Rattus norvegicus: one gene and its partners. The protein of the gene in region 1 purifies or fractionates together with the protein of each later gene. This does not show direct contact. Links are inferred from orthologs where the notes say so. Each region holds a gene or a part of one and is shown on either strand. Other genes may lie near its edges.

The links. Proteins that work in one complex are often made in the same cells at the same time.
Region 2: the proteins of Nherf2 (region 1) and Kctd5 purify together in Homo sapiens (affinity purification with mass spectrometry; 3 studies listed by BioGRID and IntAct, with this or other methods). This does not show direct contact. The link is inferred for Rattus norvegicus from reciprocal best matches to the Homo sapiens genes NHERF2 and KCTD5.
Region 3: the proteins of Nherf2 (region 1) and Plcb3 purify together in Homo sapiens (co-immunoprecipitation; 3 studies listed by BioGRID and IntAct, with this or other methods). This does not show direct contact. The link is inferred for Rattus norvegicus from reciprocal best matches to the Homo sapiens genes NHERF2 and PLCB3.
Region 4: the proteins of Nherf2 (region 1) and Phlpp1 purify together in Homo sapiens (affinity purification with mass spectrometry; 3 studies listed by BioGRID and IntAct, with this or other methods). This does not show direct contact. The link is inferred for Rattus norvegicus from reciprocal best matches to the Homo sapiens genes NHERF2 and PHLPP1.

The regions. Positions count from the first base shown.
Region 1 is NC_086028.1:14,167,516-14,171,028, forward strand, and holds part of Nherf2 (Na(+)/H(+) exchange regulatory cofactor NHE-RF2), read right to left. Parts: exon of another isoform or gene 2,906-3,513; coding exon of another isoform or gene 2,897-2,905; intron 2,291-2,896; coding exon 2,111-2,290; intron 1,890-2,110; coding exon 1,736-1,889; intron 1,668-1,735; coding exon 1,624-1,667; intron 931-1,623; coding exon 868-930; intron 670-867; coding exon 511-669; 3' UTR 1-510.
Region 2 is NC_086028.1:13,606,952-13,611,206, reverse strand, and holds the start of Kctd5 (BTB/POZ domain-containing protein KCTD5), read left to right. Parts: upstream 1-1,444; 5' UTR 1,445-1,460; coding exon 1,461-1,712; intron 1,713-4,255. UniProt on the Homo sapiens protein: Its interaction with CUL3 suggests that it may act as a substrate adapter in some E3 ligase complex. Does not affect the function of Kv channel Kv2.1/KCNB1, Kv1.2/KCNA2, Kv4.2/KCND2 and Kv3.4/KCNC4.
Region 3 is NC_086019.1:213,586,625-213,590,670, forward strand, and holds the start of Plcb3 (1-phosphatidylinositol 4,5-bisphosphate phosphodiesterase beta-3), read right to left. Parts: upstream 2,812-4,046; 5' UTR 2,800-2,811; coding exon 2,701-2,799; intron 138-2,700; coding exon 60-137; intron 1-59. UniProt on the Homo sapiens protein: Catalyzes the production of the second messenger molecules diacylglycerol (DAG) and inositol 1,4,5-trisphosphate (IP3).
Region 4 is NC_086031.1:22,821,814-22,825,942, reverse strand, and holds the start of Phlpp1 (PH domain leucine-rich repeat protein phosphatase 1), read right to left. Parts: upstream 2,812-4,129; 5' UTR 2,563-2,811; coding exon 1,098-2,562; intron 1-1,097. UniProt on the Homo sapiens protein: Protein phosphatase involved in regulation of Akt and PKC signaling.

The DNA.
Region 1 (3,513 bases):
GGTTCTGTTTTATTGCAAGTATTAGGAGTGAGTCCCAAGGGGTTGGGGGAGGGGGCTCCACTATTAACTACAAACATATGTGGAGCTGGAGAACTTTTAGGAAAAAAAAAAAAGCGAAAACATGAATTCCTTTCAGTCAGCAGGCCCAAGGCAGAACGGCTAAGGCCCTTGGCAGACCACCACGCATACTCCCTCTCTCACTCTTTTCTGTCTCTGTGTCTGTCTTGGCTGGCTGTGCCTATCTTTCTTTCTCTCTCTCTCTCTCTCTCTCTCTCTCTCTCTCTCTCTCTCTCCCTCTTTCTCTCTTTCTCTCTCTCGGTTTCTCTCTTCTCTGATCTTGCTATGACAGCCGCAGCACCCAGTGGACAAGACAAGGGTTCATGGGGTCGTGGGTTGGTTTCTGGGTGGTGTAATACCACCTTCCAGTCTGCTGAGGCTTGGGGAGCTCTGGAGAGGCCCAAGGTCCGTGCAGGAAGAGACCGTGGGACCCCTGGACAGGCAGAGAGGGGCTCAGAAGTTGCTGAAGATCTCTCGCTTCCGGTTCCAGTCCATCTGTGGTGCTCTCTTATTGACCCGAGTAGCTCGAGCCTTCTCCTTGGCCTCGGCTGCTGTGGGGCTCAGGTGGAGACCACTTTCCTGGAAGGGGTCTCTCTTCCAAGCACTGCCATCCTGGGGGCAGGCAAGGTACAAACAGTGAGCCTTACCCGTGGCAGCCACTTTCCCAAGGAACTAACACCAGTGGCCACCTCAGGGCCCGGACCACTAGCCCAAGAGGCTTCTTGGAAGTGGTAGCCCACCATCTTGGTAGGTATCTCCACAGAGACCCAATCTGAAGGCCTCCGAAGCCCCATGTGTGAGCAGAGTTACCTCATTGTCCTTCTCTGAGCCTGGCAGGTCGCTTCGGGAAGAGCACACGGAGCCACCATTGAGCTAGGAAACCAAGGGCAGGTTGTGGTTTCAGCATCCCCATCCTGGTGCACCCAGATCTTCACACGCGCACACACACACACACACAAAGCTGCAGCCAGTCCTTGTTCAGCAGTGAGCACACTTCTGTCACTGCCCGGGCTAGGGCACAGCTGGCACCTAACAGCCAAGTCCAACCTGAGCAGTCATGACATGGGAGAGCAGCTGTGGCCATGGGAGTCAGCTATGCGAATTCACCTGTTGTCAAACCAGGACTAGTACCCCAAGAAGGTAAAGATCACTCAGTAGTCATGTAGGAACAAGGCACGGAAAGACGGCCAGGTATCTGCCCACATTGTGCGTCTGAGCTGCTGCCAACCCCTATACAGACTCCACAGTGGCTGGGGTTTTTTTGGTTTTTGGTTTTTGGTTTTTTTGTTTTGTTTTGTTTTGTTTTTGAGACAGGGTTTCTCTGTGCAGTTCTGACTGCCTTAGAACTCACTCCGTAGACCAAGCTGGCCTTGAACTCACAGATCTGCCTGCTTTGGTTCCCAAGTGCCAGGATTAATGCCTGGCTAGCATGGGTGTGTATTTTTGAGGTAACCAAGCCAGATAGGTTTCACAACTGTGCAGAGATCTCCAGGAGAGGCAGCCTCTACCATGTCTAGGGACACGGGTAGAGGTATACCGATGGTCCCCTTGGGCACACCCTCTCACCTGGGCAAGGCTGGTCCCGTTCGTGACTGGTGATGGCAGTGGACCTGTGGGGACAGCAAGTTAGCGGCTGCACTGACTGACCCTACCCTCTGCCCCGAAGGCAGCATCCTACCTTCCACGTGATCCTCGGTGGGTACGACCCGCAACCGTTTGAAGTGTTCATCAGTCTCGGGGTCTACAACCAGCAACCGGGCCTCATCCTCCTGTGCCTTGATTCTGGCAACAACTTCGGCATGGCGCAGCCCCTCCACATTCTGCCCATTCACCTGCCGCCACCCACACAGGGTCAGAAAGGCCTGAGGGGCCCAGTCGGCCCAATGCCACCCAGCCAGGTGTGCCATCAAATATTCATCGAAGCCACCAGCAGCCAAAGCAGCTAGAAGAGTGCCAGCTCAAGTTCCCTGTGTCTTCCCTCCTCCTGCAGGGACCCAGGGCCATACATGGACACTCAGGGACATACAGATACAAACACAGGGACTCAGGGTACCTCAATGAGCCGGTCTTGGGCCCGGAGGCCAGAGAGAGAAGCAGGAGAGCCAGGGTCCACAGAGCGGATGTATTGGCCAGGCCGAGACTTGTCACTGTGCAGGTTGAATCCGTAGCCCTGGGGTCCCCTTCGTAAGTGGCAGAGCCGGGGACGCAGCTCTCTTGGGGGCCCATTGACATCCTGCAGAACCACAGAAAGTGACATCGGGCTCTATCCGCAGCCTCCCAACCCTCATGCTTTAAGGGACCAATCCCCAGATTTCATTGACAACGCTATGTGCCCTGTGACTGAGAGGTTTGGAGGAGTTACCTGTTACACAGCTTTAGCTGTGGGGTTAGGGACACAGCATGTCACCAAGCATGTAAACATCTAATGAGATAGCTGCTGGCAGGACCTATGGAAGAATCCATAGGGGGCACTGTGCACAGCTTGGGGATCTCGAAGGAACCAGAAGGGATAACTGCCCCATCCGAGGCTCAGGAAGCCTACCTTTAGGTTTTGCCTCCCCCTGTCTCCCTTCTGGCCCCCCTTCTCTAGAGCTAGTACCCTGGAGGCCTGAGCAGTCTCGTTTTCTCCTCATGGACTTCAAGAGGCTCCCTGGGTTACCGTGGCAGCTCTTTGCTTTAGAATTCCAGCACTAACTCCTGGAGTCACTGCCCCAACCCCATGGGCCCAGAAAGCACGGGCAGCCAAGTTAGCCTATGATGCTCCCTAACCCACAATATGGAAGGGCTCATGGTACCCACAGGGAATCCCCCGCCACTGCCCCAGGCTGCCCTTCTTTACCTCTGGCATCCTGCAGTAGGTCTCTGGGCCAGGAGGCTACGCAGGAAGGGGCCAGCCTGCTGACCTCCCACCCCAGCCAGGGGCCACGCCAGAGATGCTGCCTCTGAATGGTCAGCAGCTGCCGGTGCCTAGTTACACAGGGCCAGCGGCTGGGGTGGGCAGGCAGGTGGCAGCTCAGGTTTCTGGGTGTGAGTGCAGGTGACAATGTAGTAGCAGGGGGCATTGCCTCCCTTCCACTACTACTCTGCCCCCTCATGGCTGATGCTGAGGGACTCTGGAGAGGAAAGGCTGCTTCCGGTCTCAGGGCAGATCTCTAAGACTCAGGTAACTCCTTTCCCCCAAGCCTGAATACCTCTACACTCCTGCTGTCCACTACCACCACCCCTCTTTCGGTGTTTTGGAGAACCCAGGCTAGCCTCAAACTCCCAACTCAAAGTGATCTTTTGCTTCAGCTTCTGAGTGCTGGAATTATAGGCATAGACCACACGCTTAGCTCCAAAGCCTAAGTGTGGGTTGAGCCATGTCCACAGGCAGCAGCCAAATGCAGGAATAAGTACACTCTTCTATGCTGGACCACTCCTAGTTTTAGGGTTCTGGGATAGCCCTTTGTCCTGCCA
Region 2 (4,255 bases), about 560 kb from region 1:
TTTCTGGGCACCATACTTGGTGTTACTTGACTCTGTCAGAGCTTAGGGCTGGAGATGTGCAGAAATCAGTTTTCTGCCCTTCTCTGCCTCAAGGCTTCTCCCCACTGTTCCATAGACCCAGGGTGTTCATAGCTGAGACTTGGGAGGCCATAGCAACTATTGAGTATGGCAAAGATGCTGCCATACACTTTTTCCACTTGTTTTAATGCAAAACCCAACATAAACTGATGGTGATGCCAATGGGTGTAGCGCCTCTTAGGCAGAGTGTATGATAAGGGTCCTGACAGATTTGACAGGGCTAGGACGACTCTCAGAACCTCTGAAGATAAGTGGCTTCTGGCCTAACACTTGAGGGTTGTAGGTTAGAATGTGGAACAATGGCCTTGGAAGGAAGCTCTTTCAAGCACGTTTGCAGCGGTAAGCAAATGAACTAGCCAATATGCATACCTGAAAATTCCCTGTAATTCATTTCTTCCATATGAAGAATCCAAACTCTACAGAAATTTTTACAAATGGCAAAATTTCCCCTCCTCATGTAGTCCACCCTAGTTTAATCATCTGGGTTAGTGACTGCAAGTGGGTCACTGTGCAGGCGAAAGCCTCCATTATGACCATAGTGTGATTGAACATGGCACAAATCAAAAACTGTTACAGTATTTAGAGCTGCTGCGGCTATTCCCTAGCCACGTACAGTAGGATGAATCAATAGTCTATTGCTGTCATTCAGGTTGGTGGCAGTCAGTTAGAACATATGTAATATTCTCTACCTGGTCTGTAGCTGTAACTGTGATGTACAGGCAAAGGAAAAATTAAAAATACTTATGAAAACAGATAATGCAATGATACTAGGATATACACTTTTGTATTTTTATTCTTATATAAGGTTATTTGCTGGCTATTGTCGGCCTCTAGTTCAGTCTGTATTATTTAAATTCTAATATATGAATTATTTGGATTGAATTCATGTTTGGGGCCACGTTGTATGTATTGATGTACAGCCTTGAATGTGAATAATTATTGTAAACTATATTTTACAACTTTTTTCCTGGCTTTATTATATAAATTTTCTATTTGGTCATGGTTTAATCATATAATTTAATGAAACAACTTCTTTTTTTTTCAAATATCTGTGCTTTAGATGTAATTACCGGATGATGGATTTCCCTCGTATGCTCGGTAGTCTTGTAATAAAAGCATGTAGAGTGTACACTTTCTTCTGTCCTGGATTCTCTTTGGGTGGGGGCGGGTCTTGAGCTTAGGATGCCCGTGAGAACCCGAGGCTTGCTCCAGCCGGAAGCTGTAATCTCCGGTCTGCTTTTCGAGCCGGAACTTCCGTCTTGCACATGAGACCTGGGCGGGCACTTTATTGGGGCGTACTTATGGGCGGGCCAACTCGGGGGACTGTATTAAAGAACGGACGCTTCCGGCGAAGGGGCGCTGTGGCGGGGCTTGTTAGGATCATGGCGGAGAATCACTGCGAGCTGCTACCGCCGGCTCCGAGCGGCCTCGGGGCGGGGCTGGGGGGCGGCCTGTGCCGCCGCTGCAGCGCTGGGATCGGCGCCCTGGCTCAGCGCCCCAGTGGCGTGTCCAAGTGGGTCCGTCTCAACGTCGGCGGCACCTACTTCCTCACCACCCGGCAGACGCTGTGCCGGGACCCGAAGTCTTTCCTGTACCGCTTGTGCCAGGCGGACCCCGACCTAGATTCGGACAAGGTGAGGGCCTCGCGGGTCAACAGGGGTCTGGCCGCCCTGGTAGCCACTCGCGGCACACACCTCTCTCCACACTGAGGGCGCCCAGCGAAGCGGACATACTCAGCCTAGCGTCCTGGGCCGGGGGAAGGATGGCACTCTTGTACCCACCTGCCTCAGGTTTAACAGTGCTTCTCTTGCTTTTCATGTTCTTCGGTCGAGAAAGACCCAAGCTTTGCTGTGTCCCTACTTTCTTCTCCCTAGATTGTTTTGCCCAGGGTGTGTGACTACCACCGCCCAACTATTTGCTGGCTTTGGAACCTGAGAGCCCTTTGCATTCATCTGGTCTTTTCACATTCCAGACGTTTAAATAAACGTAGGCCATAAGGGTTGCCACAGTGGCTACCCTTTTTCCAGTGACTTGCAGAGTTTGTGCTTCATCCTTCTCATCCATAATAAGAACAGGCATCGCAGCTCTTAGAAGGTACCTCCTGAGTAAAAATGTTCAAGGGTGTCAGTTTACTTCTAATATATGAATTATTTGTATTGAATTCATGTTCGGGGCCAGGTGTAGAAAAACCTTAGGATTGTGAAAGAGAGACCAGGTAGAGAGAATCCTTTTCGATCTGCTTTTCAGACTTTGTTTCCCCACTGCCTTTGAAAAGAGTAGGAATTTCCAGCTTAGTTTGTGGTTTGTTTAGTTTTAATTTAATTAAACGCTAATACTGTTATACCTGTGGTAATAGAAGGTATTTCGATTATTATCATTACAAAAGTTGTGTGATATATTGCATAACTGAGAAATAAGTATTGTGCAGGACCGAAATATAGGGAAAAATCGTTCTCTCCCCTTTCCTCCTAGACAGTTTACTGAGTTTTCTGGTTCAGTTTACGTGATGGCACTTGATTTTGTGCCTTGCCACCTGAAAGTTTCCACTCAGGAGGTTTTCGAGAAAGATTGGAGCCCACTGCACTTTAAACAGCTTGACAGAGCACCTTCACAGTGAGGCCTGGCATTATGATCAGGAAATAAGAATTCTTGAGTTACTGCAAAATAATCACGAAGTTAGGGTTTGAGATATACTGTGGTAGTCCCTCATATCCTTCCTCCCAGCTGTTCCCATTTCTGAGTTGACCAAATCTCTTTACTCGTAGAGAATTGACCTCCTAGAAGATGACAGAAGTCTGAAGGATAGAAATAGGCTTTGGTCATTGGTGTTTTCTTTTTATAGTTGAGGCTGTATGTTTTACTGTTGGTTTTTCAAACAGTGGGCATTTATAATCATTCTTGTCTTTCTACTCAAGCATCTCTGTCTTAAATCAGATTTTAAATTTTAAATCAGCCTTGGCCATTGGCTTCTGGTGTCTTTTGCCTACTTAGCACTGGAACAATGGATCTAGAATTGTTTGACTTCTGCACAGTTCAAGTCAAATATATCTCTTCATTTTACTGTCTTTTAAGATTATTTTATAAGTTATCCTTTATTGTGCTGGTGAGATGGCACAAGCTGCCAATCAAGCCTGACAACTTAAGAGTCTCTAGGATCTACAAGGTGGAAGGAGAAACACTTGACTGAAAAGTTATATTCTGAGCTGAGCAGTGGCCGTGCATACCTTTAATTCAAGCACTTGGGAGGCAGAGGCAGGCAGATATATCAGTTTGAGGCCAGCATGGTCTACAGAGGGAGTTTCAAAACAGCCAGGTTACACAGAGAAACACTGACTCAAAAAACAAAACAAAACAAAATAGCTGGAGAGATGGCTCAGTGGTTGAAAACACCGGCTGTTCTTCCAGAGACCCTGGGTTCTATACTCAGCACCCACATCACAACCGTAACTCCAGTTTCAGGGGATCCGAGACCCATATTGACATATGCAAGCAAAACACTAATGCACATAAAATATGTCATTAAAAATTCATATACAAAAAGCCTGGTGTGGGAGTGCACTGCTTTTAATCCCAGCACTCAGGAGGTAGAGGCAGACGGATTTCTGAGTTCCAGGCCAGCCTGGTATACAGAGTGAGTTCCCAGATAGCTGGGGCTATACAGAGAAACTGTCTCAAAAAAAAAAAAAATTGTACAGTGAATTTTCGTTGCTTGTTATGGTACTTGTGTGCCCACACACATACATAAATAAATGTGTGTGTGTGTCTATGTGGATATGCGTTTTTTCTTTATTGCAATGTAAGATTATCAGAATATATTTTAGTTGCTTTTAAAAGTTTATTATTGGGGTTGGGGATTTAGCTCAGTGGTAGAGCGCTTGCCTAGGAAGCGCAAGGCCCTGGGTTCGGTCCCCAGCTCCGAAAAAAAGAACCCCCCCCCCAAAAAAAAAGTTTATTCTTTAGGAACTAGAGAGTTGGCTCACTGGTTAAGAACACTTGCTCTTACAGAGGACCCAGGTTGGATTCTCAGAACTTCTCATAGTGGCTTTTAACAATCTGTGATTCCAGGTCTGGGGAGTCTGACACTCTCCTTTGACCCCTTTGGCATCAGGCACATACATGTTACACATAACGCATGGGCATTTAAAATACTCATACACATAATGTAAGATAAATTAAA
Region 3 (4,046 bases), on another chromosome or scaffold:
GGGCAGGGGTCACCCCTAGAGGCCTAGGCCTGAGCCGGCAGCACCAACACCACTCTCACCATGTTGGGTCCTGTCCAGTACAAGAAGAAGCCATTGGGGTCCACTCGCAGGGTCACCAGGTTCCGACTGGAGGCCTCCTGAGGGCAGTACAAGACAAGGGTCAGGGGAGTGAGAGCTGGACCTACGGTAGCTGGTTTCTGCCAGTGAGCTAAGAGGACGCTCCGCCGACACACAGGTGCTCCTGGAGACGAAGACAAGTCGTCAGCGTGACATTTCAGGTTCAGTCTCTAACATGTCTCCCAGCTTCACCTTTACCCTGAGATTCTATCCCATAGGCTACTACCCTGTCTCTAACACCCAGCTTTTGCCACACCCTACCCTGTACTTTCACTTTTTCTCTACCTTGAAACTGCTGTGGAGGTCTCCAGGAGCCCATTCTAGCTTTGGCTTCCCAACAAGGCCTGAGAGGTCAAGAATGCTAGAATCCTCTGCCTCCGATCCCTTATTATTCCTGTATGAGAGCAGAGGGCTTAGAAGCCTGGAGCTAAAGTTCTCTCTGTCCTTGAGGCCTCACAGTATCTGGCCACCCTAAGATCTTTCTCAAAGCTTATCACCCATCACACTGTACCTCGTGGGATCCTTATAGCCTCTAGGCTCACCCATCTTATAGAAAAGGTCCCTCAGGAAGACTAGGCAGGGGGTTCACTCTTCTCCCTAACAACCCTATGGTGACTGACAGGAAGGCAGGATATGAGGAAAAGGCTCACTTTCTTTGTTTTTTGTTTTTTGTTTTTGTTTTTGTTTTTGTTTTTCGGAGCTGGGGACCGAACCCAGGGCCTTGTGCTTGCTGGGCAAGCGCTCTACCACTGAGCTAAATCCCCAACCTCAAGGCTCACTTTCTAAAAAGGACCCAGTCACTGATGCCCAAGGCTACCCCACGGAGCCCAAGACTCAGGACCAGCAAGGACTTCACTCAAGTCAATCTTACTCTTACTCTCCCTTGAGCCAAAAGAGGATTGAAATCCCCAAACTCTGGCTCTAGACAACCCTGCCACCAACAGTATACACTCCAGGTCCCACAGCCCCAACTGTGAGCCACAGCGAATTCTACACCCTGAATTTCACCCCCCTTCATGTTCCTCAACGCCGTGTAGGATGTGTCCTGCATCACCCTCATTTTACACAGGAGGAAACTGAGGAGTCGGGATCTCCAGGGGTACACTTGTAAAGTCCTGGCACGTGGCAAACAGAGAGAGCCAAGACCCCTCTGGACCACCCCTGGCTCCTGATCTCAGCATCAACCTCATAGCAGAGACCTCAGTTTGTCTCTTGGGAGAATAGGGGTTGCCCCACCCATGCAGTCTTGGTTTACAAAAGAACAGCAGCTGATCTGGGGACATTCATAATCCTTCAACTCTAACCAGGTCCCAACCTCTCCAGGAGATTCAGAACCTTGCCCTGGGCCTGACTAACCAGCCACCAGTAGTACAAGAAAGGGAGAAATTTGTGGGTACTGTCCCTAAAGCCGCTGTGGTACCATCCTCAGGGTCCTAACCTCCAAAGGCTACCCAGGACTCTGGCTCTGCAGTTCCAAACTTTGCTCGGCACCCCCACCCCACCCCAGGCCCTCTCCTTGTTCCCACTTCCTTATTTGGGTTTATCACACTGCAAGGAAAAGGAGAAATTTTTCCCTTTAGGCTGGCCTGGGGGAAGGGGTCTTCTGGGGACCCAGGGGTACCCACCCTTGCCCAGCACACCTGCAGCTAAGGCCACGCCCCCAGCCCCTCCCCTTAGTTCCCACTCCTGCCCCACCCAGCCGGAAAGAAACCTAGCCCTAGCGTCTTCCAGGCCTATGGCCCGACTGGGAAGGAACAGTAAGGAAGCTCAGGCCGCTGAGTTGAGGCCCTAGGGAGCGAGGGGCCCAGGGGGCAGGGGAGAGAACAGTACAGAAACCAGAAACGTGGGTAAGACGTGATATCTGGATAAGAAGCCGCAGGTGGGTATCAGGAAAGTACCAGGGAGAAAGTAGTAAAAAATGGGGAGGGCAGGATTTATTGGGGTTCAAAGTCACTAAATTAAGGAGTGGGGAGCAAAGTTCCCAGAGTTGGAGGGACCTGGAAAGGGACAAAGTCTACGGTAAGGGGTAACTTGGCGCTCCCATCTGAACAGAAAGCTCGCTGGAACCCAGAAACAGGATGAAGGGGTACCAACCAGGACAGGCTGAAATGTGATGAATAGAATAGCTCAGGCGATGCACTGCTAAGAGTAGGATCCCAGTGGCACCCCACCCAAGACAAGGATGCCCTATACCCCCTGGGAGCCCAGTGCCAGGCACAAGGATCTGAGGACAAGACCAGAAACTGAGAACCAGCATGGAGACTGATATTCATCGTCTGGCAAGGGTGGGAAAGAGTAAGAAGAGGGACAGGATTTATTGAGGTTCAAAGTCTCCATGCCAAGGAGTGGAGAACCCAACTGACCACAGCTAAAGGATTGGTTTGCGGGTCGGTGAGGGGAACGACGACGACAAAGTCTTCAATTACCAGGACAACAGTGGGACTCAAGTTTCCGGAGTGCAGCAAGGCTGGAATAGGGGTGCAGTGGTCAGGCTACACTGAAGTGGGGGTCCCTGGCATCTAGCCGAATGTGACTGAAGGAATCCTTCGATCAGGGCAGAGTAGGGGACAGCCACTCTCTTACCTCGTCCCATTTGATGAATTTACTCCCGCGCCGCAGGGTCTCCACCACGGTGGGCGGCTCCAGCTGCAGCGCGTGGACGCCGGGCCTCGCGCCCGCCATGGCCAAGCCAGGGGCGGCTCGGGGACCTATGGAACCCCGACGGGAACGGACGGTGCCACTGCTTTCTCCACACGCTCCCGCGCGGCCCGCTCTGGCCCCGCGGCGTCAGCGCCCGCCCGCCAGCCAGTCTGTCCCGGACGGACGGGAGACTCGGCGCCCGGCCCCGCCCCCGCCGAGCCCCGCCCCGTCGGGCGGTGCCGCCCCCTCCCACCGCGGAGGGGTCGCCCGACCCGCGGCGGCGCCCCCTGGCGGTCGGGGCGGCGACTGCAGCCAAAGGGATGATAGAGCGGAATTGGGGGGGGGGGGGGTCTTTGTTGGCCGGCTCAGTAGGTCTCAAGTTTTCCGGAGTCTTAGATAAAGTAGGAGAGCTTGGGAGCCCGGGGCTATTGAGGGTGCACCTGGAAAGACGGGTGTTCGAACTACCGAAGACATGCCAAGGTCAGCTAGTTGAGGACTCCAGGTGGAAAAGGCGAAGATAATAAGGCTGGGGGACACAGACCCCTGTCCCCAACCCACTCCTACCGCACTTAGCTGAACTCAGGAAATATCACCGCATCTCTCTCCATCCCACTCCACCCGCGTGCCCTCACTTCGCCTCACCCCCTGCTGCTGCAGAGCAGTCCCCCCCCCCACCTCCCAGGGAGCACTTAGCTGGCTAATGGGCCTCCCGCCGGCAGGCGCCCCTCCCCCGTCCCTAGCCCTGGAGGCCTGGAGCTGCCACCTCCTTTGAGGACCCAGGCATCCTGGTTTTCCAGAGAAAACCTTGCCGCAGTTCTTGGCGCTGCTGACCCTGAGATGGGAGCCAGCCTCAGTGAGCCTCGTAGCAGAAAACCGCACAGTGAAGGATGGTTGTTTGCCCAGAGGGGGCAGAAGCCTCGTGGGTGTCCCCAAAGGAGGGGTTGTGCAGCTCCTGGCCCATAGCAGGTGCCCTGAAATCTGTGTTCCAGCGATCGGAGGAACGGAAGGGGCAGACACATGGGCACCAGCCGGGGTGGGGGCTGCAGCCCCTCCCGCAGGGCTTGGCCGGGGGGGGGCTCCTGCCTGGGGGCCCCTGTGGGAGCCCCCCCAATACAGAGGAGGCAGCAGCAGCAGGTTTAAAGTAGAACTCATCCAGAGGGGCCAGCCAAGTCACCTAGAAACCCAGAAAGAGTTGGAGCTGGCTCTGGGGGAGGAGGGTCAGCTAAGGAGGAGCTTCCCTGCCGGCGTCTTTGCCCCAGGCTCTCAGCCTCAAGAGGAGCCCTGACTGG
Region 4 (4,129 bases), on another chromosome or scaffold:
CCAGGGATGAGGTCTTGCATATATCAATGTGGGTGTTAAAGACCAATTCATTCAAATTAAACTGCAACTAGGACACATGCTGGACTAAAAACCTCTAGCTGTGGAAGAAGCTCTGTGGGCATCATGGGTTGTTAGTATATGCACCTACAATATAAAACTGAAAGTCTTAATTCTCCTAAGCTAACCTTATTTCAAACAGAAGTTCTGACCACTAAAATCCCTTTCAACCAGAGTTCGAGTAGCTTACAAAGCTCAAAAACAATACCCAGTAGCCATGTAACTCCACGACTTAGTTCCAGCCAAGACTCCAGGCAAGGGAGAAACTGACTGGTCACCCCTGGACAAGCACTTGAACAGATACTAAAATACTGCTAGAGTTCAGGTCACATCAGAGGCAGTAATCACCGACATTACTAAGTCTAGTCTGTTTCAAGTCCTGTCGCAGTTCTGACAATAAAGGCTGCAAGACAGAAGCAGGCCAACTCATCTTTTATGCAAGATTCAAACTTGGAAAGTGAAATAAAGTAATTAAAAACGCCGAAGGTGAGCAACACTCAAAACAACAAACATACACACACACTTCTCGGGTGTCTACAAGAACTCAGTGAGCAAAGAAGCGTGGCAGACGGTGGAACAGGAGCATCAGTTGACAAGAGCACAGCCCCAGAGGCCCACACACACTGCCTTGTCTATGAATGGTAAACTGTGGACAGCTGAATAGGGAAGGCATCATGGAACACTTTCCGTTGGTCATTGTCCTCTGTCTATATTAATGTGTTACCTGGAATCCCAAACCGCCTGCAACCCAACGAGAGCAGAGGCCTGGAGGAAACCACCTTTACAGTTAAGGACCCGTACCCCTCTTAGGTGTTTCCTGTATTTCCAGGTGACTTTGCCACCTCGTCCACCCGGCTTTCCAACCTCAGACCTGGACACTAAAAAGTGCAGATTTAAAGAATACTGAATTTAGTACTTGCACAAACAGCATGTGAACCAGCTAGAAAAGACTGCCAGACTCACCAGGCCCCTCGAATCATTTATCGGTCCGGGCCAGGGTTCGAAGCCGCTATACAGAAACATGCATGCAACTTCCTTACCTGCATAGAATCGGATGAGGCAGCCAATCTCCGAATCCATGCCTTCCTCCTGCACCCTCCACAGCTCCCCAAATCCCAGTTGGAAGAGGTAGTCATTTTGGATCTGCAATGGCTTCTCGTCCGCCTCCAGGCGCCGGGTAGTCTCCCCATGGAGCTGTACATACAGGGAGGGCGGAGAAGACGTCTTTTGCACGGTCTCCCGGATCCTCCCTGGAGTCCACAGAGGAACGCCTGGAGCTGCAGCTGCCACCGCCTTGTCGTCTCCGGGACCTTCGCCCACCACTAGGCCAGTGCCGTCTACGCCCGTCGGGGCTTTCGGCTGCAGTAACGCCGAGGTCTTCGGGGAAGGCGGTCGAGGCTGTGAGGAGCGGACTGGGTGGTGGGGCGGCCCGGAAGGCCCCGTCAAGACCGTGGCCGGGTCAGCTTCTAGTTCCTCGGACGAAGAGGAGGAGCCGCCGCCGCTGCTATAGGGGTCCAGCCGGTCTGACACGCTCTCGGCGCTGGGGCTCAGGCTGAAGCTCTCGGTGTCGGAGGCCGGGCGCGGGGCGCGGGACGGGGAACAGGGGCCGCCCGCGAACAGCTCTCCGGGGCTGGAGTCCGAGGGCGCAGGGTTGACCCGAGGTGCACAGCGCGTCCAGGCGCCCCCGGGCAGCGGCAGATCGGCAGGAGGCGCGCGCGCAGGGCCCCGGACAGCACCGACCGTGCTGCTCGAGGGCGGTGGCTCCACGTCTCTTCCGAGCTCTGTGGCCGGGGTCTGATCGCTGGCGGCCGGGGCAGCGGCCGGAGGTGGCCCGTGGCCCAGCACCTTCACCACCCCGCCGCCTTTGTGGCCCAGCTGCAGAAGCCGGGCGGCCACCTCGGCGGCTGTGGTGTCCAGCGTGCAGAGCACTGGGCGCAGGTAGGACGAGGCCATGTGGCGGTCAAAGACGTGCACACAGCCCCGCTGGAGCTGGTGCCTCACCCAGTCCCGGTCCGACGGCTGCAGCTGAAGCAGCTGCCGGTGCTTCTGGAGCAGCGTCTTCCTGTCCAGACTCCGGGTGCACAGCGACGCCGAGGCCGAGCAGGACGCCGGGAGGCCGCCAGCGGCCGAAGACGCCGAGGACGGCGATGAGGACGACGAAGCGGCGGCCGACAGATTCCTCTTCAGCCGCCCTCTCCTCAGCAGCAGCGAGTTGGCGCCGCCGCCGGCCGCGGTCACCGGGGCGGCCCCGCCGGCCGCGGGCTGGGGCACCCCGCGCCGACGCCTGCGTCCGGTGCCTCCCGCGCGGCCGGGCAGCGGCCCCGGCGGCGCCTCGCAGGGGGCCTCCTCTCGCGCCGCGCCGCCGTTCCCGCCGCTCGGGGCCGCCGCGCTCAGCACAGAATCCGGACTCCGTCCGCCCTCGGCCGCCGCCGCCGCCGCCGGGGCTCGGTCCTCACCCGTGGGGTCCGCGAGTCGCTGTGCCGGGGCTGCGGCGGCGGGCTCCATCGTAGCGGGGTTTCACGTCGCCCCCCCAGCTCCGGAGGCAGCGGAGGAGGAGGAGGTGAGGCGAAGGTGGGAGACGGCGGCGGCAGCGGCGCGCGGAGAACGGAGACGCCGATGGCGTTCGGCGCGGCTGTTCCAGAGGATTATGTGGCGATCCGGAGCATTCCGTCGGTGTCTCGGTGTTCCATCCCGCGCGCCGCCCGCCCGTTTCGCCGCCACCGCCCCCCCCACACACACCCTCCCCGCTGGTCCGGGGCTCCCCAGCGCCAGGCCCCGCCCGCTGCCCGTCAGCCTGAGCTCCCCGGAGCTGCGGCCCGACCTCACTCATGAATATTAATGAAGCGCGGGAAGGCGGGCGGTGGCGGGGCGGAGTTGCTCATGAATATGCATCGTTAGCATGACGACATTTCTGGGGAGAGCGGGAGGCTGGGGGCGGGGCCTCAGGGTAAACAAACGTGACGCGTGCGTATGGGGGTGGGGCAGAACTGTTTCCCAGGAGGTTTGTCCTCGCCATAGACGAGAGCTGGCGAGAGGGGCTCGCGTTGCACAGTGGGGGTTGTAGTTCATCTCCTGGGCGAGCCTCCAATGGAGACCAATAGCGAACTACAAGACCCAGATATCGTCAGATTCTGCCCTCCCTCTCTTCCAGCTTCTGGCCCTAGCTAGTGGGTATTGTGCCCTCTGCTGTTGAACTCTGTGTCCTGTGAACGTTTTTCATTAACTCGCTTCTCTACCGTTTGCCAGATGAGTTTTATTTTCCTGGCTAATTGAGATTGAGAGCTTTCAGGGACTCTAAACTCTAGGTAAGGCCTTTGAATGAGACAAAAATACACAGTTCACAGGATCGCTGGCCCGGTCTTCCTTTTTCCGCACTTTTTTCATGGTCCATGAAAACTAGCAGTGTTTGGAAATTCTTCTTTAGAAGATAGTTGAACGTGCTTCCTGTAAAGCACTCAAATTAAGCCCATCTACTCCCTCCCATATTAGGACAGAAATAGCTAAGGACTTGGGGCCTTGTATCCTGTTGGTAAAAGCTTACATAACAGAAAACAGTAGACGAAGGGAGAAATATTAGAATGGAGACATTGTGGGACTTGCTTTCTCTTAGTCCTTTCAGGATTTTTCTTTCCACACTCGGGGCTGGGTAGAGGGTGAATGAGACAAGGTTTCTCGGTATAGTCTGATCTCCATACTTCCTCAAACTGCTCACCACCTAGGCTTTAACTATGTTGTGTGAGTTCTTACTGTTGCAATGTATGATCTATAAACTTACTTTTTATTGGTTGAAACAAGCTGGTTTGAGGCAATTAACTATTTGAAATATTTGATAAACGTCGTGCATTGAGTTGCCACCCTCATAGTAGCTTTACATAGGTAGATACTCACTTTCGAGGCTTTGGGTTACATACTATCCAGAGCCTGCCTTAATTTTAGAAAACTTTGGTAGGAGAGAGAGAACTGAAATTCCTATCAAGGCAGCTTGGTTTTAGGTTAGCTACACATTTTTGTTGAAGAGGGATGAGAAAGCAGCCAGGACAAAAAGTTTTTCAGTGATTGTTAAATTTCTAAA